Sus scrofa: one gene and its partners. The protein of the gene in region 6 purifies or fractionates together with the protein of the main gene of each other region. This does not show direct contact. Links are inferred from orthologs where the notes say so. Each region holds a gene or a part of one and is shown on either strand. Other genes may lie near its edges.

Region 1 (3,500 bases), on a different chromosome or scaffold from region 6:
GGGAGAGTCTGGTTCCAGGGCCAACTGAAAGAGAAAAAAGGAACAGTTGGAGTTCCCATCATGGTGCAACAGCAATGAATCTGACTAGGAACCATGAGGTGGTGGGTTCGATTCCTGGCCTTGCTCAGTGGGTTAAGGATCGGTGTTGCCGTGACTGTGGTGTAGGCCACAGATGTGGCTTGGATCCAGCATTGCTGGCAGCTGGGAACCTCCATATGCCACAGATGTGGCCCTAAAAAGCAAAAAAAAAAAGTCTCAGCCAGAGAAATGCCTACCTCTTTTGTTGTAAAATCCCAGGAAAGAAGATAATTTAATAAATTAATTCTTACTCTGTATGTGAATTATTTACAGCTTGTTTATTTTATACAAGGCAAAAGGACAGATGATTTTCTCTTTTAACTAAGTCCCCAAGGGATATATAAAGAGTGATACCAAAAGAAAACAATGACATTAGGGCTCATTCTCAAAATCAATTCCATATACTAGGGATGGGGGAGAAATGGCACCCAACTTTTATTCCTCGCATCTTAGTTCGAAAAATTAGTTATCTACTGTGTTGGGGGTAGTCTCAAGAATCAAATAGGTAATTTTCATATTTCCTGAGCCATGTGGGCAAGAAAAGCATACTCCAGGTCCACCTATATAGTTGCTTAGGGTTGTAAACAGAGGGGATCATCCTCCTTCCATGGCGTGAAAGAAAACAGTGCCTACTTGGAGATAAGGCAGTTGCTGGCTCCTCACTGGCTGCCATGACTATTTGGCCTATATTCCTGCTCTAAATAGGCTTCCAGAAATAGTGCTGTTTATGCACTGAGAGTTGTGAGCAGAAAAGTTGAAGCTCTCACATATGAGAAGTCAACAGCTAGCACCTTGGAGCTGTTAAAATGTTCTAAATACAGAGTAAATTTTAAAGGCTTGGAAGGCATTGGAGACCTCAAGGATCTCCAAATCAACTATGGCTCAGCTTGGGAGTCAGGTATCATCAGGTGAATGCTCCATGTGCAAGATATAGACATCTCTCAAATACATGCCTTCTGAGAAGTTTAGGGTAGCTGCTTTTTCTCCCATCTTACCTACAAATCTTAGGACTGAAAGAAGTGAGGCAGGTGACCCCAACAAAGGGACACAATGTACAGATACTGACTGGAGGGCCTTGGCGGAGACTCACAGAGAAGCGGAACTGCACAATCTTCGCAGACAGGGCTTACTTACTTTGTGGGATGCTCCCTTGTGCTGTGCCACACGCTTCGTATTCTTGCAGCACTGTGTAGCAGACAACTCTGCTACCCGAACCTGCCCATCACGGGCACACATGGCCAGGGTAGAATCACCACTGTTAGGAAGGAACTTGGCCTGGGATATTAAGAATAAAAGAAAGTACAAGAGAAATAAAAGCACATTTGAGAGGGAAAAGTGTGATGACCACCCCAAATCTCCCCCTGTTGCTGCACGATAGCTGGAAACTTAAGACCTCCTACTCTTTTATAATTGGCTCAAGTCCAATTTCGTCCAAGGGATAAAGGAGAGGAAGAGAAAAAAACTTCTGATATAAGAAAGCACTTCTGTTGATTCCAAAAGGTTGAACTGGTACAGGGTAAGTGCTCAGGTAAACTAAGACTATACCTACTAGGAAAGAAAAGGAAAAAAAGAGAAAAATCTTCCTTGATTCAGAAAGTAAACAAATTTTCTACAAAGAAAAAGGAAACTAGAGGGGATACTGGAGAAGGAAAGAAACCATGCTTAGGGATAAATAGCTAGACTATATGATAGATGGGGCTGATAAGTAAAACCTCCAGAGAATAACAATGTCAACTAATATTTATCAAATGTTTGTTAAGTACCAGACATGGTTCTAACTGCTTAGCTTCTATTGTTATTTAATCCTCATAACCCTCTTTTTTTTTTTTTTTTAAATGGCCACACCAGAGGCATAGGGAAGCTCCTGGGCCAAAAACTGAATCCAAGTCACAGCTGCAGCAATGCTGGATCCTTTAACCCACTGCATCATGTCAGGGTCCAAATCCGGGCCTCTGCAGGGACCCAAACTACTGCAGTAGGACTCTTCACCCTCTGTGCCAGAGCAGGAACTCCATCACAACCCTCTGTGTTATTAGCCCCATATTATATAGTTAAAGAAACTGAAGACAGAGATTAAATAAATGTACCCAAGATCACACCTCTAGTAAGGAGTTGGGCCAAGATTTAAACTCAAGTAGTCTGGCTCAAAAACCTCTGCTCTTACACTATATCCCTCCTAAGCAGGGCATTTAGTAACTTCCTAACGATTTCCAAGCACCCTATTATAATGAGGCTTGCAATACTCTATGTGCTCAAGGAAATAAAAGGCTGCCATGGGTCTTTCAGTGTATTTAGTTCCTCTAACTCATTATGGGGCCAAAGTAGGACCAAGCCCTGATATCTAATTCCTACCACAACTTGCTGCCACTCCTACTCCAGTTAGCAGCTCAGGTTTGTCTAACACATGCCTGATTTTCCCAACTGCCAATGTGCTCCCTTGCCTCACCTGGAAGACATTGCTTTTGTGGCCACTCTCAAAGTCCAATACTGGCTGTCGCCGCACCCAGTCCCAAACCACCACTTTCAGGTCATCGCTGCCACTGGCCAGCCAGGTGCCGCGCTGGTTAAAGTGCAGGGTATTAACACAACCAGTATGGCCCTCAAGCCCATGCTGCAGACGGAAACGCTGCACAAAGACTCTTGCCCCACAAGCCTCATACACAAAACGGGCACTTGAACCCAGCTCCCGCTCCCGAAGAGCAGGAAGGGCTTGCCAGCGAGGTCGGGGCAGGGCTGATGTCTCTGAGGCTACCCAGTCCTCCAGGGCTCGCTCATCGTCGGATGAGTCCTGATCACGATTGGCCCGCTTGCGCTGTACACGGCGACGAGGATGCTCTTCTTCCTCCTCTTCTTCCTCCTCCTCTTCCTCTGAGGGGTCATGGACTTGGTTTTCATCATTGATGGAGTAATGGCCAGTGTCCTCCATGCTGTCAGAGTCCTTGTCTTCACCTGAGCTCTCTGTATCCGTGCCTCGACTTTCTGTGCTGGTGCGATTGGGGCCACCATCATCCCCAGTCAAGCTCAAGCTCAGGTCTGAGGCCTCCACTTCAATGCCTGAGGATGTCTCTCTCCCTTCCTCAGCACCAGACATCTCCTCTGGACTGCTAGACAGGCTTCCTGCATGTTAGTGAGGAATGAGTAGATGGGGGGGGGGAAATAAGGAAATAAGATAATGATCAGAAGAATTTCCCCTCCTTAGTCAAAAATAATCATCACATCAAAAGACCCAGAAACCAATTTTGGTCAAAATGTTTCCATTACAAATATTTATAAAGAATAGCTTCTGGAATTCCCTTCATGGCTCAGCGGTTAACAAACCCAACTAAGAGCCATGAGGATACAGGTTCGATCCCTGGTGCTGCTCAGTGGGTTGAGGATCTGGCATTGCATGAGCTGTGGTGTAGGTCGAAGACACAGCTCAG
Region 2 (2,254 bases), on a different chromosome or scaffold from region 6:
CACGGATCCTCCGTCCTCATCTCCCACTTGGTATCCAGCCAGGCCAACAGAGAGCATCCCAGGTGTGAGTCCTTTCCAAGCCATTGTTTGTACTACTTCTTCCTTTCTTCCTACCAACCACGTCTTTTCTCCTTCAAAACTTCCTCGTAACGCTTTCTGGGGAAAACCCCATCGGGTTCTGTCATTGTAGTAACTGCCAGACTTGTTTTGAGCAGGGTGATCTGGGGAACACAGGTATCCTCCCCCTTCTCAGCCACTAGCCATTTTCTACTCAGCTCACTATTCAGGCCGATGGAGGTGGGAGAACAGTGTGATGACCTCAGAACGTACGTCCTATTTGGTTTTGGTTTCCCGAGGCTTTTCGCTTTGTTGTTATATATAGGCTCACCTCTCTGGTTAATGTCTGGGTGGGGCTGATGTTAAAACATTTATCAGCTGGTATGATCTCAGGAAATGCAAAAGAGAGAGAAGGCCTGAAGGTGTCCTAAGGGTCAGGGAGGCGGGCTGGGGATTTCAGGTTTGCAGTGGTAGATGCACGCGCACTTGCAAACTGTTTTTGTCGTTTCATGTAGGTCTTCTCTTCGTTATTAAATGGTTGGCAGTTGTATTAATGGTGGTGGTGGTAAAGATTACTTTCGATGTCCCTCTTGATAGTATTCTGCACTTACTCTTGTGACCAGCCTCTTCATCTCCTAGGCAACCTGGCATCCTCGGTACAACCTCATTGTCGTGGGCCGATACCCAGATCCTAATTTCAAAAGTTGTACCCCTCACGAATTAAGAACAATCGATGTGTTTGATGGAAGCTCAGGAAAGATGATGTATCAGCTGTATGACCCAGAATCCTCTGGTATCATGTCGGTGAGGCTTGGGCCCTTAAATAATAGTGGGAGAAAGCAGGGACCCAACCTACCTTACTGACCAAAAAGGACCAGAAATTAGTCCTCATGTGCCCTTCTCCCAGTACCTTCACGCCCTTCTCATGCTTACCCCCTTGTCTCTGCAGCTCAATGAGTTCAATCTCATGGGGGACACGCTGGCCTCTGTGATGGGTGAGTGTGTCTCAGGCTGGTCAAGCCCACCCTACTCCCCTAGGTTCTGTGCAGGTTAACCTCAGCCCAGCCCCACTGCCTTCACCCCAGGGTTGTAGACAGCAAAGAAGATAACCAGGAGACAGTGGTCTCTTTGGCCTAGGCCCTTCATCCCTCTTGCTTTGCCTTGGTCACAGCAATGCTCGGCTGCTGTCTAGTTTCCTGGTATCTCCCTACCAAGTCTTAGGTTCCTCGGGCCAGCCCCAAGTTCTCGGAGGGTGATAATGGAAGGTGCAAGTCAGATTGGTTTCACTCCTCCTAGGTTATCACATTCTCATTTGGAGCCAGGAGGAAGCTGGGATGCGGAAATGAGAGACATTTATGGAGGTGGGGGCCAAGCAAGGGCTTGGAGCCATATGAGAACAAGTTCTTCGAGAAGAGGCGGCTTTGTGTTGAAGGGCCAAAGGTATCCAAGTGTTAGGGCTGAAGCAGGGGCACTGGGACTGGAACACTGGCATGTACTGCTCTGGACTTAGCTCCAGAAACTTCTCCAGAGTTGGCGACCCAGCTGCTCTGAGGGTCCCTGTTGTATCTAGCCTGGAGCCAAGCTCCTGGAGCCAAGCTTCTCTTTTTCTTCTCTGACACGCAGTGCCAGAGGGTCAGGTAGTAGTTTTTGATGTGTGCTCACTATTCACATGGCCAATAAAACCATACCCAACTGAGTTTTGGAGTGGATCTTCCAGCACTGACTTGGTCAAAAGGCGTCTCAGGTCCCCCAGATGAAGAAAAGGCACAGAAATGGCACTGAGTCCAAAAACCTTCATTCTCTGGAAGCTGTCTCAGCCCTATTCTGGGCCACAGTCAAGAGCTGTTCAGCTCACAGCGTGCATTTACCCTGGGTCCCTGGAGGTCCTAGCCCAGCTGAGAGGGATAGTAATTCCATGATTCTGTACCACAATTCATTGTGCTCCCCGCTTTCCCCCATCTCTCCCAAGTCCAGACATCCAAACTGCTCAGGGTGCAGGGGTGACAAAGATGCTGGAAGCATTATGTCTGCCCTAATTGTGGCTTCAGCTGGACAAAGGAAAACTTGGCCGGCTGATGCCTGGGTGACCTGGTCCCTTGATGGCCAATGTTTGTACCCCCAATACCATGCAGTTTTTCCCACTAAAACAAACACTGAGGGGCAAAATTGTGTCCTCTGGGCCACTGGCCAAAGATTC
Region 3 (3,500 bases), on a different chromosome or scaffold from region 6:
CAGAGTAGCGATTCTCTCTGGGTGGGATAAAGTTAAAAGGGGCCTTTCTGGGGTTCCCGTCGTGGTACAGTGGTTAATGAATCCGACTAGGAACCATGAGGTTAACCCCTGGCCTTGCTCAGTGGGTTAACAATCCGGCATTGCTGTGAGCTGTGGTGTAGGTTGCAGAGGCAGCTCAGATCCCACATTGAGGTGGCTGTGGTGTAGGCCGGTGGCTACAGCTCTGATTAGACCGCTAGCCTGGGAACCTCCATATGCCGCGGGAGTGGCCCAAGAAATGGCAAAAAGACAAAAAAATGGGGGGGGGGCTTTTCACTGTATCTTTCACGTTGTTTGCTGCCTTAAAAAAAAAAAAAAAAAAAAACAGGAGTTCCCATCATGGTTCAGCAGAAACAAATATGACTAGTCCATAAGGACGTGGGTTTGATCCTTGGCCTCACTCAGTGGGTTAAGGATCCCGTGTGGCTGTGGCCCTGGCGTAGGCTGGCAGCTACAGCTCCAATTGGACCCCTAGCCTGGGAACCTCTATGTGCCACAGGTGCGGTCCTTAAAAAACCAAAAAAAAAAAAAAAAAAAAAAAAATCCAAAACTAAATATGGAAGAGGTAAACGTGTTAAATGTGGGTGATGGGTATTACTCTTACGTTTTTTTGGAAGGTACTGATGCCCACTCTCCTCCCAGAGGCGGCCTTGTACTTGACTATCCTTAACAGCTTTTCCAGGCTGTGTCTCATGGGAATTGCAGAGACTCCAGGCTGTGCCACCTTGCTCCCAGCGTCACTGTTTGTCAGTAGTCATCCAGGTACAGGGGGTCCTTTTCCTTTGGATAAGGAGGTGTTCTGAGGGTCATCTTTGTCTTCTGCCTCTCAGGACCTGCAGCTACCAGCCTAAGCTCTGCGGTGCTGACATGGACAGGAGGGGTGGGAGCCGTGGGCCACGTGAGCCCAAAGCCACACTGGGAGGTTGGGGATAGTCTGCAGGGGCACCTGGGAGGTTCCTTAAACCTGACCCAGGATTTGTGCTAGAAGCATGTGCATCTTCACTTATTTCCTCCTTTGGGATCGTTTTAGCAACCAGAACAGTTAAAAGTGTATGTTACCAGTACATGAGATAAGAATATTTATTTGAGCTGCCTGCACAGATCGTCCCGAGAACATCTGTTACGCTCCTACAGTATGGCAGGTGCTGTCGGGGATGCTTAACGTTCTGTCTGGCCGAAGGCAGTCCAGGTGCCTGGCAGCATGCTGGACATTAAGTTTTCAGTCTTTCCGTGAATTAGGATCAATTAGACAAGGATCAGGCCTCTACGACTGCAGGCTTCCGACAGACCTGGCAGGAATCCCAGTTCTGCCCCTTACCAGCTTGAACAGATTGCCTAACCTCTGTAAAGTAACATCTACCCTCAGGTTATATGGGGGATTAAATGATTTAATGCACACTTAGCCTGGTGCCTAGCAGTTCATCATAAAGCAGGCTTGTAAGGCAGGAGTATATATTATTACCATTTTACAGATGAGGAAACTAAGCCAAAAGAGGTTCAGAATTTGCCTTACAAAACTAAGAGATGGTATTGGAAGTCAGGGTGGTGGCTTCCTATGAGGAGTAGTGGGAAGGCTAGTAATTGGGAGAGGACATGAAGGGTACTAGCATGTTCCATTTTCTAACCTGAGTAGTGGCCACATGGCTGGCTGTACTTAACTTTGAGATTATTCATTAAACTGTATACCATGATTTGTGTCCTTGATGTACGTTTTATCAATTAAAACGTATTCAAAAAAAGAGTTTGCATGAGCTCACACAGTTAATAGTGTGATCCAGAATTGAAACCCTCTTATCTGTGACATCATACAGCCTCCGTGATAGCTGTTAGTATTTCTAACACTGCTGCTGGGAAGTCAGGGAAGATTCATGTATTACTCTCAGAATAACCATTTTTGAGCCAGGCACCTGGCCTGAGTGCCTCTTTTTTGCTGCCACAAAACCCAGAATGGGGCCACGGTATGGACCCTCCGAGCAGCTGTTCCTGGAGGTTTCACACACCTGCTGGTCACTGCCTGGCAGTGTGGAGGGCAGATGTCCAGCCGTGGAGGTCAGCCACGTTTTACACTCCCTGTTCCCTCCGCAGGCGGAGACCGGCCTGGCATGCTCTGCAGCTTCCGGATCCCCGGGGCCTGGTCCTGTGCGTGGTCCCTGAACATCCAGGCCAATAACTGCTTTAGTACAGGTGAGCCACCGCTGCCCCCGCAGGTGCCCAGGGTGAAGGATCTCGGGGCCCCTAAGCCCCTGCCCAGAGTCCCTCTCCCCAGAACACCGGTGACACTGTCTGTCTTTTCCACCTCCGTCAGGCTTGTCTCGGCGAGTCCTGGTGACCAGCGTGGTGACCGGACACCGGCAGTCATTTGGGACCAACAGTGACGTCTTGGCCCAGCAGTTTGCCCTCACGGTTAGCTGGAGGGGGAGGGCATAATACAGTTCCCCAGAGGTGGACATTTGCTGGATTGCAGTGGGATTGCGCCGAGGGGCCGCTGGTCCTCCTCCCTCTTTCACAGGGAAGGAGAGGGCATCAGAAGGAGCAACGGGTTACTTGGAGAACAGGTCGGCACGAAATGAAATTTGGCTGATCCAGAAAGGCCTGGCTCAGCTGACTTGAAACAGCTTTCAGTTAAATGAATTGTTAGCAATTCTTGAGAACTTGGATTAGCCAACAGGACAAGTAATTTAGGTCTCAATTCATAACTCTTATATGCAGCTGTCAGGTACACATTTTAGAAATTTAAAAGTCAAAATTCTAGTCATTACTACATTTCAAAAGCCTGACCTGTAGAAAATGCCATCTTTCTTTAAAAGTGCAGAAGATGTGCTGACCTGCTTTGGGCAGTAAGCACAGAGTTCATTATTCAGGGTTTTGAGCCATCTTGCCACTCTCTCGGGGCGCCCAGGTCTTACCTGGATCTCTCATCTCTTACTCCACACTCACCCCCCAGCTTCTCACTGATGACCTGGGAGGAGACAGAGCACCATCACCTCACAGGGAGGGGTTCAAGGGGAGGCCTTAGGGACCAGTTGCAGCCAGCAGGGAGGACACTGGAGGAATAGAACAGGTAGCATCCAGTTTTCTGACAACTTTCATAAGGAGCCCTTCCAACCACTGAGGCTCAAACCCTACCAGCTTGTCTGCACCTGTACCTGTGACCCAGGGGCTGGAGAGGAGGCAGGGGCTGTATTCTGGAGGGCACACCTCTCCCAGCCTTGGGGCAGGTACCGAGCAGTCCCTCTTTCTGCAGGCTCCTTTGCTGTTTAATGGCTGTCGTTCCGGGGAAATCTTTGCCATTGATCTCCGTTGTCGAAATCAAGGCAAGGGTTGGAAAGCCACCCACCTGTTCCATGATTCAGCAGTTACCTCCGTACGGATCCTCCAAGAAGAGCAGTGCCTGATGGCATCCGACATGGCTGGAACGGTATGGGTACCACTGACTTTGTGCAGCCACTGCCGCTGGCTCT
Region 4 (3,500 bases), on a different chromosome or scaffold from region 6:
CCTATCATACAAAGACAGGATTTGAATAAAACACCATGTTTTTGTTTCCTGCTGAATTTCTGTTACAAAAGTAGGATCATACAACCTACATTATTTTGTCAAGAACGTCTTCCTCATTCAATAATTTATATTTTTTATGTAAAAGAAACATGTTTCTATATCTTTATTAATGATTACACAATAAATCATCTGTTCTCTTACTCTAACATTCATAGAATAGGGTAGACCATGCTAATGTTTTACATAGATTTATTTTATTCAAAGATTCACGACATAAGTAGTATTATTAGTTCCCCTTCAGAGGTGAGGAAATAGATTTGAAGGCTAAGGATAATTTCAGGGTATCACAGCTAGTAAATGGTAGAGCCAAGACTGAAACTGTCTTATTTCAGAAGCCAAACTTCAAACTCTAGGTACTTCTCTATTGCTTCTATTCACTTTCAACATACCATCTATTCCTAGGCATTTATGCTGTTTTAAATTGTCCATTGCTTAATAATATTGCATTGAAAATCCCTTTGTGTGTATTTATTGTCCAAGAATTCAGAGGTTGAAACAATATGTATATACTTTAATATTACTTTCCAGTATTTCCAAATGTACTTGTCTCAAATACTTATAAACATCAATTACGTCCAAGAGGTAAATCATCGTAATTTATAAAAACTAAGAAGGAAAAAAGACTAGTGAATATATAAACAACAAATCCACATTAAAAAGCTCAACTGAGATTTCCAATGTATATAATTAACTAGTTGAAATCAAACTAACTGATTCAACATTTATAAGTCTGAAATTTAAGAAAAATATTTTTGCCATATAATCTATCATTCACATTTGAATCTGAATAATATTTTAGTTATTTACTACCCATTATTATTTCTAAAGATGGGATACTTTTTGACTAGTTACTACTTACTTTAGAGTTGTGAACTAATTGCCTATATTAATTCCCCTTAGAAAGCTCAGCCTTTTCTTTTTTCTCCCTTTTTTGGTAACTCAATTCAAATGACCTCAACTCAAATTACCAAGTTCTTATTGAGAGCAACCCGCATGGTGGGCGGTCCCCACTATTAGGCACTGGCATTAATAATCTCCTAAGGGATATTAGAAACCACGTGAAAAAAAGAAAAAAGGAAAACAGTGTAAGATTAAGCTTGAGAAGAAAAAAGGAGATTTACTAGAAAAAAGAGAACAGTGAAATGGATGACAGAAAGAAGGGACTGTCTGTTAGTAGAAGAGCTTGGTCCACAGTATTTGAGCAATGAGATTTATTTATCTGGTTGTTATCTTGTTACTGCCAAACAAAATAAAAGACAACTAAAAGCTTATATTATGATTCCCTAGTTCAGAAGGCTTCTCGAAGGACATCTGTCAGGTGTAAGCAGTCATATTTAGAAAGTTCTTTTCAGAACATATTTAAAACTCACCATGAAATCAGAGGAAGATCAAGTAACATGGAAATGGAATAAAAAATGTCAACCAAGGAGTTCCCATTGTGGCTCAGCAGAAACCAATCTGACTAGTATCCATGAGGATGCAGGTTTAATCCCTCACCTTGCTCAGTGGGTTAAGGATCTGGTGTTGACGTGAGCTGTGGTATATTTCACAGATGTGGCTCAGATCTGGTGTGGCTGTGGCTGTGGCATAGGCCAGTGGCTACAGCTCAGATTTGACCCCTAGCCTGGGAACCTCCATATGCCATTGGGTGCGGCCCTAAAAAGACAAAAAAAAAAAAAAAAAAGTCAACCAAATATTGCTTAAAAGCAAAAATACTACTACCCTATTGCAATGTAGATTAATGTATAATAACCTATTAGTAGACTTTAATAAATAAAACACTTCTCATTCTATTGCATCAACTATATTGTTTCTCTTTTTATAAGGAAAGGCTGAAATCTAATCTGAGGTTCAAATGTTTAAGGGGGCAACACTAAAAATAGTATTATCAAGATTTTATTCACAAATAACACAGAAGTGAGCAATACAGACGCAAATATACATATGCTCTCATTACACAAGTTACAAAAACCTACTATTTAAGAAGAAGTGCATGCACCACAGTGTTGTTACTCTTTACAAAACCCATGGCGGGTGACGTTACAAACACGTTAAGCTCAACTTCTGAAAAGAGTAATACTCACGCAGACACAATTTCCTCACCGCTCACAAACTTTGCGTAAGAGACTGCTTTTCGGTGTCCTTTGAATACCATGATTGGCTGTTTAGTGTTACGAAGATCATAGTAGTGAACACAGTGATCTACAACAAAGCAAAACAAAAGAAAACAAAAAGGGAAAAACGCAGTATATGAAAAAATGGTTTTGATATTTTTCATCAAATGTTTCAGAGACAATGTCAAATCTATAATGGCCAGACAACTGAAGGCAATGACTCATTTTCAAAGATAAGAAGATGTAGTAGGTTTTCTGTTTTGAACCCAGGACAATACAGTTGTATAAAAAAGTATATACACGTACGCTCATGTCAGTCTGAAAGGGAGTTTCACTGATATTTCTTGAGATCCTGGCTCTAGAAAGAGTATTAAGGGTTTAAAGAAACTGAAAGTTTTTAAATATATCCTTATATTTTGATGGCTTTATAAAAGAAAACATTTTGGACTTCTGATTAAACAATATGTTAATAATTTTATTTCTCACATTTGCCTTCTAAAATACATTTTCTTCGTGTTTCTGCTGTGGTGCATTGGGCTAAAAATCTGACCACAGTGGCTCAGGTCGCTGTGGAGATGTGGGTTTGCTCCTCACAGTGGGTTAAAAGCACCTGGCATTGCTGCAGCTGTGGTGTAGATTGCAACTGCAGCTTATATTCAATCCCTGGCCTGAGAATTTCCATGGGTGCAGCCATAAAATTAAAAGAAAAAAAAAAAAACTTAGAAGAAAACCTTTGCAACTTTGGGTTAAGTATAAGATATATTTTCTTGAGATACACTTTACATATAATAAAAATCAACTTAAAGCATACAGTTCAGTGATTTTTAGCAACTTAACCCAGTGTTGCAACCAACACCATAAATTAGTTTTAGAACATTTTCCTCATCTCAATAAAATTTCTCATGCCCACTTACCACCCACCATCCTAGGCTGTATTTTACCTCTGTAAATTCATCTTTTCTGGACTTTTCACATAAATGGAATTATATAATGTATAGCTTCTTACACTTTACATAATGTTTTTGTAGTCCAAATTTTAACATGGGTCAGCAGTTTATTCTTTTCTCCTGCTGAATAGTATATAATAAGTAGATATACCACATTTTGTCTAGTTTAGGGATACTGTTTTCCATTTTTTCAGTTATCGTGAATAATGCTGCTATGAACAATCATGTTCAAACCTTTGTGTGGACATTGATTTAGGTCTCAGGTTGATACCTCGAAAATGTAATTACTGTGTCATGTGATAATTTTGCGTTTAACTTTTTAAGAAACTGACAAACTGTTGACTGCACCATTTTACCCCACCAGCAATATATAATGGTT
Region 5 (3,500 bases), on a different chromosome or scaffold from region 6:
TCTTCCTTACGAAATTTTTAGAAGTCTCACTTAAGAAGTCAGCAGGCTTTGAACCCAACTTCCAGTCCTGAATTTTCTTTTTTTTCTTTTGTTGTGACAAGGATGATTTCTTGTCCTGAAGACAAAGAACTATTAGGAAGAGCCCCAGCAGAGGAGGAGGGAACTTCAGACAAGTAACTGTCCTCCTGCCCCCGCATCATAGAAAACTGGTTTCCAGCCTTTACACAAACAGTCATCCATCCACATTGCCTAACCGTCCCATTGTGGGGACTTGGCTTGGGGAAACCAAGATGGGACTCACTGTGGGTGGTCCAAGGGAAGATGGTACATGAGTCGTGGCTTGTGAAACTTGAAAACACACATGCCAGGGTTTTCCAGGTCAAATCTAAAGAACATTTGCTCAGCTGGGGTCATGGAAAAACTAGGAAATCTACTAGCAAAACTGGTCTTTGGGCTGCAGGGCAGCTGTCAGTGCTTCCCGGCTCCTGGTTGGAAGAGAAGCCAAGGGGTGTGTGTGTGTATTGGGTCAGCCCACAGCGGCGTGTGCTGTGTCACAAAATCTAGGGAGGAATCAGAATTCTTAGAAATGTTCAAAAGCAAATAACTGTATTTACTTTCCTCGGAGAGAAGACACACAGATACACACAGAGGTACATGTTCACACAGGAATTCTCTGGGGTCTATGGTTAAGTCTATAACATTGACCACTGTAACCCAAACACCAATGCTAAAGGTAAAAGAAATGATGGCTAGGACATCTTTCTACAATTATTCATAAAGGAAAATCCAGTCATTATCTTATCATCAGTGGAGAGTCACTGCGGACATTGGGAATAGCTCCACAGATGATGAAAACGTGGAGTGAAAAGAAAAACCTCACTGCTTCCCAGGTACCCCTCTTTGTCATAGCCTCTCCCTAAATGCGAAAGTCAACATACCACCTGTAGGGAGTTGAATGGTGGCCCCTCAAAAGATAGGTCCACTTTCTAACCCCCAGAAACTTCGGATGTGACCTTATTTGGAAGAAGGGTCTTTGGAGATGTACTTAAGGATCTCAAGATGAGATCACCCTGGATTCCCCAGGTGGGCTCCAGACCCAGTGATATGCATCCCGATAAGAGACAGAAGAGGAAAGGACACAGATACACATGGAGAAGGCATGAGGAGATGGAGGCAGGAGCTGGGCAGCCTCTAGCCAAAGAACTCCGGGAGCCTCCAAACCTGGGAAGAGACAGGAAAGATTCTCCCCTAGAGTCTGCAGGGGGAGCGTGACCTGCCAACACCCACTGTAATTCTGGCCTCTGGACTCCTGAACTTAAACAACAAAATCTAAAAGATCTAAAAGAGCGTGCCTTTCTCTTGCTTTAGGCCACCTCATTTATGGTCATTTCTTAGGTCTGCCACAGGAAACTAAGACACCATCTACCACTGTCCCCACCAAAGCAACTGTTTAGAGGTACGCTAAGAAGTATTCATGAGTATCTTTTGCTGTCATGGGAAAAAAAAAAAGTGCATCAGATGCTCGTAAAATATCTTACATTTAACTTCTTCCTCTAACATACATCCCCCAAACAAGACACATTTTGGTTTCGGTGAAAAGAATTTTTGCACCTACACTACACTATTATGATGTGGATTTCTGGTCTTTCCAAAGTTATAAAGGGTTGAATGGAGCCTAATGGGGCCATCAACATCATTTCTCCACGCCTGTTATCAGCCAAGGAGGGGGGAGGACTGTCTTGCCCACAGGTCATTTCACTACATCAAATATAATGGTAACTCTTCTACTGCAATGTAGCTAAAAGTCCTAACAGTCCAGTTATGCCTCTTCTATAACTTCTGAGCATTATATAGTCAGACAGAAAATAAACTGCCTTGACCACGAGAAAACCCGGACACCACTGCTTTAAGTGGGGGAAGAGATAAGAGGAAAGGCACATCTATTCTTGGTGGCCCATCATGGTCTTGATTACTGTTGATAATAGAAAACCAAGCTGTGGAGTTCCCACTGTGGCTCAGTGGGTTAAGAACCCGACTAGTACCCATGAGGATGTGAGTTCAATCCCTGGCCTCACTAAGTAGGCTAAGGATCCAGCATTGCTACAAGCTGTGGTGTAAGTCAAAGACACGGCTCGGATCCTGCATTGCTGTGGCTGTGGTATACACTAGCAACTGTAGCTCTGATCCACCCTAGCCTGAGAACTTCCATATGCCATAGGCAGAGCCATAAAAAGGAAAAAAAAAAAAGTAGAAAGAAAACCAAGTTGTGATATGCTTCCTACCAGGACCCACAGTATAAAATCTGCTAGAGAAACTTCATTTTCAAATGACTAACTATAAAATGTCCCCCCCCCAAAAGCGAAAAACATATACATATGGTTTAACAGAAATACAACCACCTCCGAGAGCTGGTCAGGAAGAAATTCTCTTATGTTCACGTTCTTGCTCCGTCTACTGTGTGCGAATGAAAGCTGAGGCCTGAATTTCTGGGATCTGTATCCTATATGTTTGTGCTCAGATACAAGGGAGAGAGTGAAAACAAAGACCTCCAAGGATGCTCTGGCGCCAAGTTCCATAGTGCTGGACAGGGCGGATTCAGGCTACATCTGGGAGAAGTACGGAGTTATATGGCCTGAGTCAGGAGATGCCTGACGGCGGGGTTTCCAGAGCAGGAAGAGAGTACACGTTTTCTTCACAGCTCCCCCATCCCCCATTCAGTTTTCATGCTCATGCAAAGGCATCAAAGGCCCCTCCTGCCCAGACCACCCCTGCCATACAGGACGCTCTTCCTTCCAGACATGTAAATGCAGTGTACTTAATCAATGAAATCACACTGCTGAACACCAGAGCATTTCCTGCAGCCCCTCCTGCCCTCCCCGAGGCTGCCAAAGCTCACCTGTAGGAAGACCACCTACGAGTCCCCTTCACTTACCTCTGGTGGTATATCCTCCGATGACATAAATTTTCCCCTGACACTCACAGGCAGAGAACTCAGCCAGAGGGTTTGGTAAGGGTGCCATGAAATTCCACGCATCCTGCTCAGGGTTATAACACTCAACGTTAGAAACGGCCTGCCCGCCAATGGCATAGAGTTTTGAATTTACAGCCACGAGTTTGAAGTTAGACCTGAAAGAGAGACACAAAGGCCCAAGAAATCAGTTCTTTTGGATCATTAATTGGAAGACAACGGCATGACCTGCTAAAGCAGTGTGTGGAATCTGCTGGGTATTTGCAGAAAATAAGCTCTCCGAGCTGGGGGCTCTTCTGCCTGGGGACAGAGGGATGACCCCATTGCATCTCACATTTCACTCTTATCACCAAGAATCCGCAAGAACAGTGCAGTATCCAAACTTCAGCTATCGAAGATGAGCAATTCAATATACCAAGAACTAATCTCGCTTAGCTTAAGCTAAGAACCAAAGACACTCTGTAGATGTTAAACTCAGTCAATAGCTCTTTCAGGAGGGGGAGCAAGCCCCCACCCCACTCCCTCGTCTCCA
Region 6 (3,966 bases):
GGAGCTAACACTTGGGTGTGTTACAGACACACCTAAAGAACCAGCCAAATTGTAGGGGCGACAAGACAGGGTAAAGGCAGTGTACACAACTTGCTCGGGTGTAGGGGTGGGGAGAGGGCTGGAGTGGGCTAGGTTTGCCGGAGGTGGTTTTTTGTTTTTTCTTTTTAGGGCCGCACCCTTGGCATATGGAAGTTCCCAAGCAAGGGGTCGAATCCGAGCTGCAGCTGCTGGCCTATGCCACAGCCAATGTCAGATCTGAGCCCAATCCGTGACCTCTGTTGCAGCTTGTGGCAACGTTGTATCCTTAACCCACTGAGCAAGTCCAGGTATCGAACCCACATCCTCATTGATACTAGTTGGGTTCTTAACCTGCTGACCACAACGGGAACTCCCAGAAGTGAGTTTTGAAAGACTAACGGAGACGGAGGGTAGAGGGAAGTTGGGAGGGGTTAGAAAATGCCAGGGATGTTCTCAGTGCTGTAGGTAATGAGGTGGAAGGAGGAAAGAAAGGATGTGTAGACCAAGGCACTCAGGACCAGGCTCCACTGGCAAACCATTCATTCACTCAAAAATCATTTATGGAGTTCCCCTGTGGCTCAGCGGGATTTGAACTTTTGTGGCTCTGATTACAGCTGTGGCGTGAGTTCCGTCCCTGGTGCGAGTACTCCTGCATGCTGTGAATGCGGCCCGAAAAAGAAATCATTTAGGTGCCCATATGTCAGGTAGTTTTGATCACGTGTTACAGTGATAAAGGCGACAGAACGCCCTTCGGTGGGGATGAGTGAGACGTGTGCAAGGAACAGACACGAGAGCCAATGTGGCTGAAGCACGGCGATCAAAGGGCAGAAAAGCAGAGGCCAGGGCTGGCTGGCGGGCAGGGGTCTGATCTTACAGGGTCTTGCAGGTGGTTAGGAGTGTGGCTTTTACTCTGAGGGCAACAACATGAAGTTTCATTCATGCTGCAGCAGCCTTACAAAGTAGGCAGTCTAATCCCAGTATACTTTAGGACGATCAGGGTGCGGTTAAGTAAGTTGTTCAAGGTCAGAGGCAGGCGAGAGGGCTACTAAGACCTGCCGGCTCTCCCCGACCCAGGGCTGCCTGCGCGGGTCTGGGCAGGCGCGCGCCACGGCCGCACTGAGCATGCGCTGCTGCCTACGGAAGCCGGCAGGGAGGGGGCGGGGCCGACACTGGCGGGCGCGGGGGAAATGGCGGCGGCGGCTGCGGCGAACGGGACCGGAGGGAGCAGCGGGATGGAGGTGGATGCAGCAGGTAACCGACCGGGAGGGAGCGGCTTCTGGAGACGCCCTTGGGGCGCGTCAAGGCCTTCCTGGACTCCCGGGGAAGTCGGGAGGGCGGGTCAGCGGCGCGTTCCCTGGGATAACTTGCGGGAGGGATGTATGGCCCGGCTCTGCTGGCTTCCCCTCCCATCTCCCGGGGGGAACGTGGGACCCGGACTCTCACCCTCTCTTCCAACTGCTTAGTCGTCCCCAGCGTGATGGCCTCCGGAGTGACTGGCAGTGTTTCAGTCGCCCTTCACCCCCTCGTCATTCTCAACATCTCAGACCATTGGATTCGCATGCGCTCCCAGGAGGGGCGGCCTATGCAGGGTGAGTGTTCGGCGTAATTCTCTGGCCTTCTTTTCCTGGTCATCTCCCCCAAACGGTGGTCCTTCCCTTTCCTTTGCTGAAGCCAATTCTTCCGCCGCAAACCACCCGTTTCCCTAGTACTGGGTTCACTTGACCTCAGACCCTCAGGCTATACTGATTTAACTAAGTTTCAGGATTCTTTACCCTCACCTCTTGTGTCCTCTCCTCCAGTGATTGGGGCTCTGATCGGGAAGCAGGAGGGCCGAAATATCGAGGTGATGAACTCCTTTGAGCTGCTGTCCCACACCGTGGAAGAGAAGATTATCATTGACAAGGAATATTATTACACCAAGGAGGAGCAGTGTGAGAGGGGAATAGAGGTGGGGGAGAGGAGTGGGAGTTAAAAAAAGAAAGAAAATCAGAATAGGGAAGGTGGAGAGGGTTGGGGGGAAAAAAATAAACAGGAGATGAGCAGAATGGAGGCCAAGTGACGAGAAGGTAGCTGTAGAGATCTTTAAAAAAGAACATATTTGGGAGTTCCCGTCGTGGCTCAGTGGTTAACGAATCCGACTAGGAACCATGAGGTTGCGGGTTCGATCCCTGGCCTTGTTCAATGGGTTAAGGATCCAGTGTTGCCATGAACAGTGGTGTAGGTCGCAGGTGCAGCTCGGATCCTGCATTGCTGTGGCTGTGGTGTAGGCCGACGGACACAGCTCCAATTGGACCCCTAGCCTGGGAACCTCCATGTGCTGCGGGAGCGGCCCTAGAAATGGAAAAAAGACCAAAAAAAAAAAAAAAAAAGAACATATTTGGTTACTTCCCACAAAGTAAGGAGAAGATAGAAGAGATGACTTACTCTAAACTGAGCCGGGATGGGATGGGGAGAAGCTGGTTAAAATCCACCAGGAGCTTCAAATTAAAGAAGCGATATTTAAAAAAAAAAAAAAAATACTCTGTGCTCTGGCCCTTTCCTCCTCAGTTAAACAGGTGTTCAAGGAGCTGGAGTTTCTGGGTTGGTATACCACAGGGGGACCGCCTGACCCCTCTGATATCCACGTCCATAAGCAGGTATACACACTTCCGTTTGCACGTTGGGGCGGAGGACAGAGGATGAGCGGGAGAAAAATGGGCCCTGGCACTCAGGTGCATCTGCCCCCTCTTCCAGGTGTGCGAGATAATTGAGAGCCCTTTGTTTCTTAAGTTGAACCCTATGACTAAGCACACAGATGTGAGTAATACTGAGCCCGTGGCTACTTTGTCCTGCTTGTCCATTGCTATGCCTACCCAGATTTTAATTCTCATCCTGTTTTTTACTGTATCGCCTCTGTTGAATTGACTCTCCCTTCTCTTTACCAGCTGAGACTTTGGGTGTCATTTAACCTCTAAACTGCATTTCCCCCATGTACTAAAATGGGATAATTCCTACTTGTAACTTGGGGACATAGAAAAACGGAATGCGAAAGGGCCAAGCCTGGTTTGGGGCCCTTCAGGTACGTGTGCTGTTACTAAGAGCTCTTCGCCCATCTCCTCTTTACAGCTTCCGGTCAGCGTCTTTGAGTCTGTTATAGATATCATCAATGGAGAGGTAATGCCATACCCTTCAACTCTCAGACCCTGCTCCCGGTGTTTCCTGCTTTTGACTCTCTCTCTGTGCCCTGTAGGCCACGATGCTTTTTGCTGAGCTGACCTATACCCTGGCCACAGAGGAGGCTGAACGCATTGGTGTAGATCATGTGGCCCGAATGACAGCAACAGGCAGCGGAGAGAACTCCACTGGTAATGCAGGCTGGAGGGGTTTCCTTCGCAGCGGGGGGTGGGACGTGTTGGCCCCATGCCTTCTCAGCCTTGGCCTGACCCTGTGTAGTGGCGGAACACCTGATTGCGCAGCACAGCGCCATCAAGATGCTGCACAGCCGCGTCAAGCTCATCTTGGAGTATGTCAAGGCCTCTGAAGCAGGTAGGACAGGTGTCCCCCTGACACTTGAACCACTTTTTCTCTCCTTCCTGGGGAAGCAACAGTATCACATTAATGCAGCCCTTTGCTGTGCCTTTAGGAGAGGTCCCCTTTAACCATGAGATCCTGCGGGAGGCTTATGCTCTGTGTCACTGCCTCCCAGTGCTCAGCACTGATAAGTTCAAGACAGACTTTTATGATGTGAGTATAAAGCCCAGGATCAGGAGGGTGGGGCTCATGCCACCATTTCTGCATGCAGGACATTGGAGCCAGAGCCCCTGGGAAACTGGTTCTTTGTTTCCTTGCAGCAATGCAATGACGTGGGACTCATGGCCTACCTAGGCACCATCACCAAAACGTGCAATACCATGAACCAGTTCGTGAACAAGTTCAACGTCCTCTATGACCGACAAGGCATCGGCAGGC
Region 7 (3,500 bases), on a different chromosome or scaffold from region 6:
GTTGCTGTGGCTCTGGCGTAGACTGGTGGCTACAGCTCCGATTTGACCCCTAGCCTGGGAACCTCCATGCGCCATGGGAAGTGGCCCTAGAAAAGGCAAAAAGACAAAAACAAACAAAACAAAACAAAAAAAAACTTGCAGATTTCACTGTGGCCAGGGCCTTACTTGGTTTTCCTAAGAGATTATTTAACTCAAGATGGAGGCCTTAATGACATTTTTATTCTGATGAAATTCCCAATACCTGGCCAATAAGTAATAACCACCTCCTATGTTATATATGCAAACAGAATCCATCAGAAGATACAACTGATGCTTTATATGATTTACAAAATTACTCCAAGGTGTTAACTTTCAGCCACTGTCACTACTGACCACCCTGAACTGATAGTTGGAAAATAAAAAGGCTCTCTAACTCAGCCCTTAAAAAATCACTTGCTGCTAACAATTATCTATCACGTTGTCCTACAAGAGGGAAAATTTTATTTTCTACTGCACAAATACTTCCATCTAGACTAAAGTTGGGAGGGAGGTTTGTTTTAGTAGTGGGGAAGCACTTGCATCTAACATATAAAGACAAAACAGGATTTCCCACACAATGAGAGCAATAAAAACAATATTAAGGAAAAAAATCAAAACCTAAGAGACAAATGATTTACATAGTTGATGAGGGGCTGACTATCACTGAACCAAAAATAATTAAGAAATGTATTCGCAGACGTGGCTCAGATCCTATGCTGCCATGGCTGTGGCGTAGGCTGGTAGCGGCAGCTCTGATTCAACCCCTGGCCTGGGAACTTCCATATGCTGTGGGTGCGGCCCTAAAAAGACCAAAAATATATATATATATATATTCTTTAGCTTAAATTATTTCTGCTCTATCAGTACATTCTGAGAATAAAGGATAAAATCCCACAAAATTTAGTTATCCATTAAAAGTATAAGTTAATGCTATTTCACAGCATTTCAGGAGGAAAAAAAAAGACATGCCAGGCGGCTGTTATCTGAAGGTGCAAATCTGTTTATTTTTCAAATGGTGTAAACAAACCTCCTTTGCAAACACTGTATTTTTATCACCAGGTCTGGTAACTAAAGCTGAGGAACTACCTCACCTGAAGGGTGTCGACCAAAGCTGTAAGTATGCTTTCTAGAAAGAAGAAAAGATGCAAGAGGTAAACAGAGCCCCAGAAATAACCATGTGATTAGAAACCAATTAAGTTAAGCAATTACTGAAACTGCTTTCTCCTCTTTGGGCAAGAAATGATCACAAGTGAGAGTCTGATATAAAAATGAAAAATGCTTATACGCAAAAAGGTCAAGGCAGTTTTGGAGAAAGACAATTTTAAGATAGCAGAACTATTACACGGTAAAATGTGCAAGGGGATGTTTGATCAATGTAGATAGGATTTATAGTCTGTTAAGAAATGCCAAAACAACGGTTTTAGACATAAACATGTTTTCATGGTTAAACTTAGTTAGTATTCACAGTGAAATGGTGGGGGTGGGGTGGGGAGATGGGAGAACTAGGTAAGAGAAGGGAAGAAAATAACCACCAGAGCCTGCTGGTTTTCAAGAGCTATTTTACATTTCCTTACTACATTTTAGAGGAATACGAAACTGTGTTAATGTTTTTCATTCAGAACTACGAAACTTCTCTCAACTCTAATTTCAGCATGTATCACTTAAATTAAAATTAATTTTTAAAAAGAGAGCTAGACTGACCCAGTTCAGATTTAATTACTCTGTGAAAAGAAAGAAAAGTTAAAGCAAACTTATAATATTTTGAATTAAATAATTATGCTTCAACTTTAAAAGTGCTTTTAAAATGAAACTACTCTACCACCTACCTGGTTCATCTTTTACCCATAAAATGTTTTAAAAAAACGTAAATGCACAACAAATTAGACTTCTTACACATAAACTATTCTTAAAAACTATTCATTCTCTTTTTGGCTCCTGACCAAGCCTGGGAATCTTATCTATAAAGACACACTGCCTTATTACCTAAATTGTGAGTACTGTCTATTGCTTTCAAATGCACTAACCTTCTCAAAAACACTGGATGGGGTCATCAAACAAAACCTGATGTTCTGAATGATGGTATCGGTATGTCTCCAGCGTCTTCTATCATGCCGCAGCCAAGACTGCACAGCCTCGTACAGCTCTATCTCTGGGAACCTGCTCAGATGATCATTATCCAAGTAAGACATGAGCTTCTCAAAGCTCAGATAAGACAGGAAGTCAGGCCTGGACATGAGTGGTACAAAGTTGTCTAGCAGAAAGGCGTCCAACTTCTCCCTGACTCCCTCGATGTTTACACCGAAATCATCTAAGAGTCTCATAATTTCTGCACAATTTTCTAAGCAGATTTTCGCTAATAGAAAAGAGCAGCAGAACTTCACCACTTCTATAAGCTGAACATACATGGCAGCCTGAAGAATCTCATGAACAGTACTCATACTCAGTTCTATAGTTCCATAATACATAAACTGAAGGACGTGACTGAAACCTGTAGCAGTAAGACCTTTTAAATGAATTTTGTCCTGATCTCGCTCTCTCATGTCTGCAGTAAACATAATTCTGAAGTAATCACTCTGGGTGGCCAAGAGTGCTTTATGGGCTTGGAACTGATGATCTTCAATAACCAGAGTGACATCAAGAAGCAATCCCTCCTCATACAGTGCTCTGAACCCAGCAGAGACACTGGTGTCATGGATGGAGGAACAGAATCCTTCCACGTCCCCTGCCATGAATCACCTGGAAAAAAAAGTAATCAAAGAAAACTGTGTTAATCATTTCCATGCATTCTGAAGACATTATTAACTTAGAACTTAATTTTTATAATTATCTCAATTCCACTGCCTAGTTCCTACATGTATAAACTATTTGGGAGAAAACAACTTAAAGGTTTGCAGGCTAATATTTTTAGCTTCGCTACCTGGGGAAAAAAAATCTATTAAATATCTACACAATAATGGTAAATTCTTAGTTTACAAATATATGCCTATCCCAGTGACTTTACATTGTTTATCAAATACATTTAAATATGTCCCCAAATTATCAACCAAAATAGATTTCCCAAATACTAAATGATGAGAAAAAGAGACAAAAAAGAAATTAAACCAAAAAGTACACTGTTGTCCTTGAAAACTCCTAGAAACTTGCCCAAAGGAAACAATCAGATAAATCTGTCAACTTGCACACACAAGAGTTTTCTTTCTAGCCTTATTTATAACAAAAAACTGGAAACTATTCAGAAGCCCAGTGACAGAAATAAATATGGCGCAGTCTTATAATGGATTACTGTAACAACTAAAAATGATGGCAGCAATCTACCTGCTTTGACAAAGGATATTTATCAGGTATGGTTATGTGGAAAAAAAGCGGACAACTGTACCATACTCAGTATGTTTTTAAAACTTAAATACACACATATATACTTAGATGAGGAAAAAGTCTAGAGGAATATATACCAAAATGATGTCTGAGTAGTGGGATTTCAG

What was found.
Region 1: the proteins of COPS6 (region 6) and DCAF8 purify together in Homo sapiens (affinity purification with mass spectrometry; 3 studies listed by BioGRID and IntAct, with this or other methods). This does not show direct contact. The link is inferred for Sus scrofa from reciprocal best matches to the Homo sapiens genes COPS6 and DCAF8.
Region 2: the proteins of COPS6 (region 6) and DDB2 purify together in Homo sapiens (affinity purification with mass spectrometry; 8 studies listed by BioGRID and IntAct, counting the BioPlex papers as one, with this or other methods). This does not show direct contact. The link is inferred for Sus scrofa from reciprocal best matches to the Homo sapiens genes COPS6 and DDB2.
Region 3: the proteins of COPS6 (region 6) and DCAF4 purify together in Homo sapiens (affinity purification with mass spectrometry; 4 studies listed by BioGRID and IntAct, counting the BioPlex papers as one, with this or other methods). This does not show direct contact. The link is inferred for Sus scrofa from reciprocal best matches to the Homo sapiens genes COPS6 and DCAF4.
Region 4: the proteins of COPS6 (region 6) and RFWD2 purify together in Homo sapiens (affinity purification with western blotting; 3 studies listed by BioGRID and IntAct, with this or other methods). This does not show direct contact. The link is inferred for Sus scrofa from reciprocal best matches to the Homo sapiens genes COPS6 and COP1.
Region 5: the proteins of COPS6 (region 6) and KLHL42 purify together in Homo sapiens (affinity purification with mass spectrometry; 3 studies listed by BioGRID and IntAct, with this or other methods). This does not show direct contact. The link is inferred for Sus scrofa from reciprocal best matches to the Homo sapiens genes COPS6 and KLHL42.
Region 7: the proteins of COPS6 (region 6) and KLHL15 purify together in Homo sapiens (affinity purification with mass spectrometry; 3 studies listed by BioGRID and IntAct, with this or other methods). This does not show direct contact. The link is inferred for Sus scrofa from reciprocal best matches to the Homo sapiens genes COPS6 and KLHL15.

The regions. Positions count from the first base shown.
Region 1 is NC_010446.5:90,235,418-90,238,917, reverse strand, and holds part of DCAF8 (DDB1- and CUL4-associated factor 8), read right to left. Parts: intron 3,196-3,500; coding exon 2,525-3,195; intron 1,354-2,524; coding exon 1,213-1,353; intron 25-1,212; coding exon 1-24. UniProt on the Homo sapiens protein: May function as a substrate receptor for CUL4-DDB1 E3 ubiquitin-protein ligase complex.
Region 2 is NC_010444.4:15,342,114-15,344,367, reverse strand, and holds the end of DDB2 (DNA damage-binding protein 2), read left to right. Parts: intron 1-696; coding exon 697-861; intron 862-1,006; coding exon 1,007-1,111; 3' UTR 1,112-1,353; coding exon of another isoform or gene 1,354-1,403; 3' UTR 1,404-1,754; downstream 1,755-2,254.
Region 3 is NC_010449.5:96,312,760-96,316,259, forward strand, and holds part of DCAF4 (DDB1- and CUL4-associated factor 4), read left to right. Parts: intron 1-721; coding exon 722-801; intron 802-2,124; coding exon 2,125-2,223; intron 2,224-2,344; coding exon 2,345-2,442; intron 2,443-3,283; coding exon 3,284-3,457; intron 3,458-3,500. UniProt on the Homo sapiens protein: May function as a substrate receptor for CUL4-DDB1 E3 ubiquitin-protein ligase complex.
Region 4 is NC_010451.4:117,967,769-117,971,268, forward strand, and holds part of RFWD2 (E3 ubiquitin-protein ligase RFWD2), read right to left. Parts: intron 2,263-3,500; coding exon 2,145-2,262; intron 1-2,144. UniProt on the Homo sapiens protein: E3 ubiquitin-protein ligase that mediates ubiquitination and subsequent proteasomal degradation of target proteins.
Region 5 is NC_010447.5:45,937,888-45,941,387, forward strand, and holds part of KLHL42 (kelch-like protein 42), read right to left. Parts: intron 3,127-3,500; coding exon 2,933-3,126; intron 1-2,932. UniProt on the Homo sapiens protein: Substrate-specific adapter of a BCR (BTB-CUL3-RBX1) E3 ubiquitin-protein ligase complex required for mitotic progression and cytokinesis. The BCR(KLHL42) E3 ubiquitin ligase complex mediates the ubiquitination and subsequent degradation of KATNA1.
Region 6 is NC_010445.4:8,001,536-8,005,501, forward strand, and holds the start of COPS6 (COP9 signalosome complex subunit 6), read left to right. Parts: upstream 1-1,166; 5' UTR 1,167-1,205; coding exon 1,206-1,269; intron 1,270-1,481; coding exon 1,482-1,607; intron 1,608-1,817; coding exon 1,818-1,949; intron 1,950-2,565; coding exon 2,566-2,654; intron 2,655-2,751; coding exon 2,752-2,814; intron 2,815-3,123; coding exon 3,124-3,171; intron 3,172-3,247; coding exon 3,248-3,362; intron 3,363-3,450; coding exon 3,451-3,543; intron 3,544-3,640; coding exon 3,641-3,741; intron 3,742-3,848; coding exon 3,849-3,966. UniProt on the Homo sapiens protein: Component of the COP9 signalosome complex (CSN), a complex involved in various cellular and developmental processes.
Region 7 is NC_010461.5:20,112,591-20,116,090, forward strand, and holds part of KLHL15 (kelch-like protein 15), read right to left. Parts: intron 2,755-3,500; 5' UTR 2,748-2,754; coding exon 2,043-2,747; intron 1-2,042. UniProt on the Homo sapiens protein: Substrate-specific adapter for CUL3 E3 ubiquitin-protein ligase complex.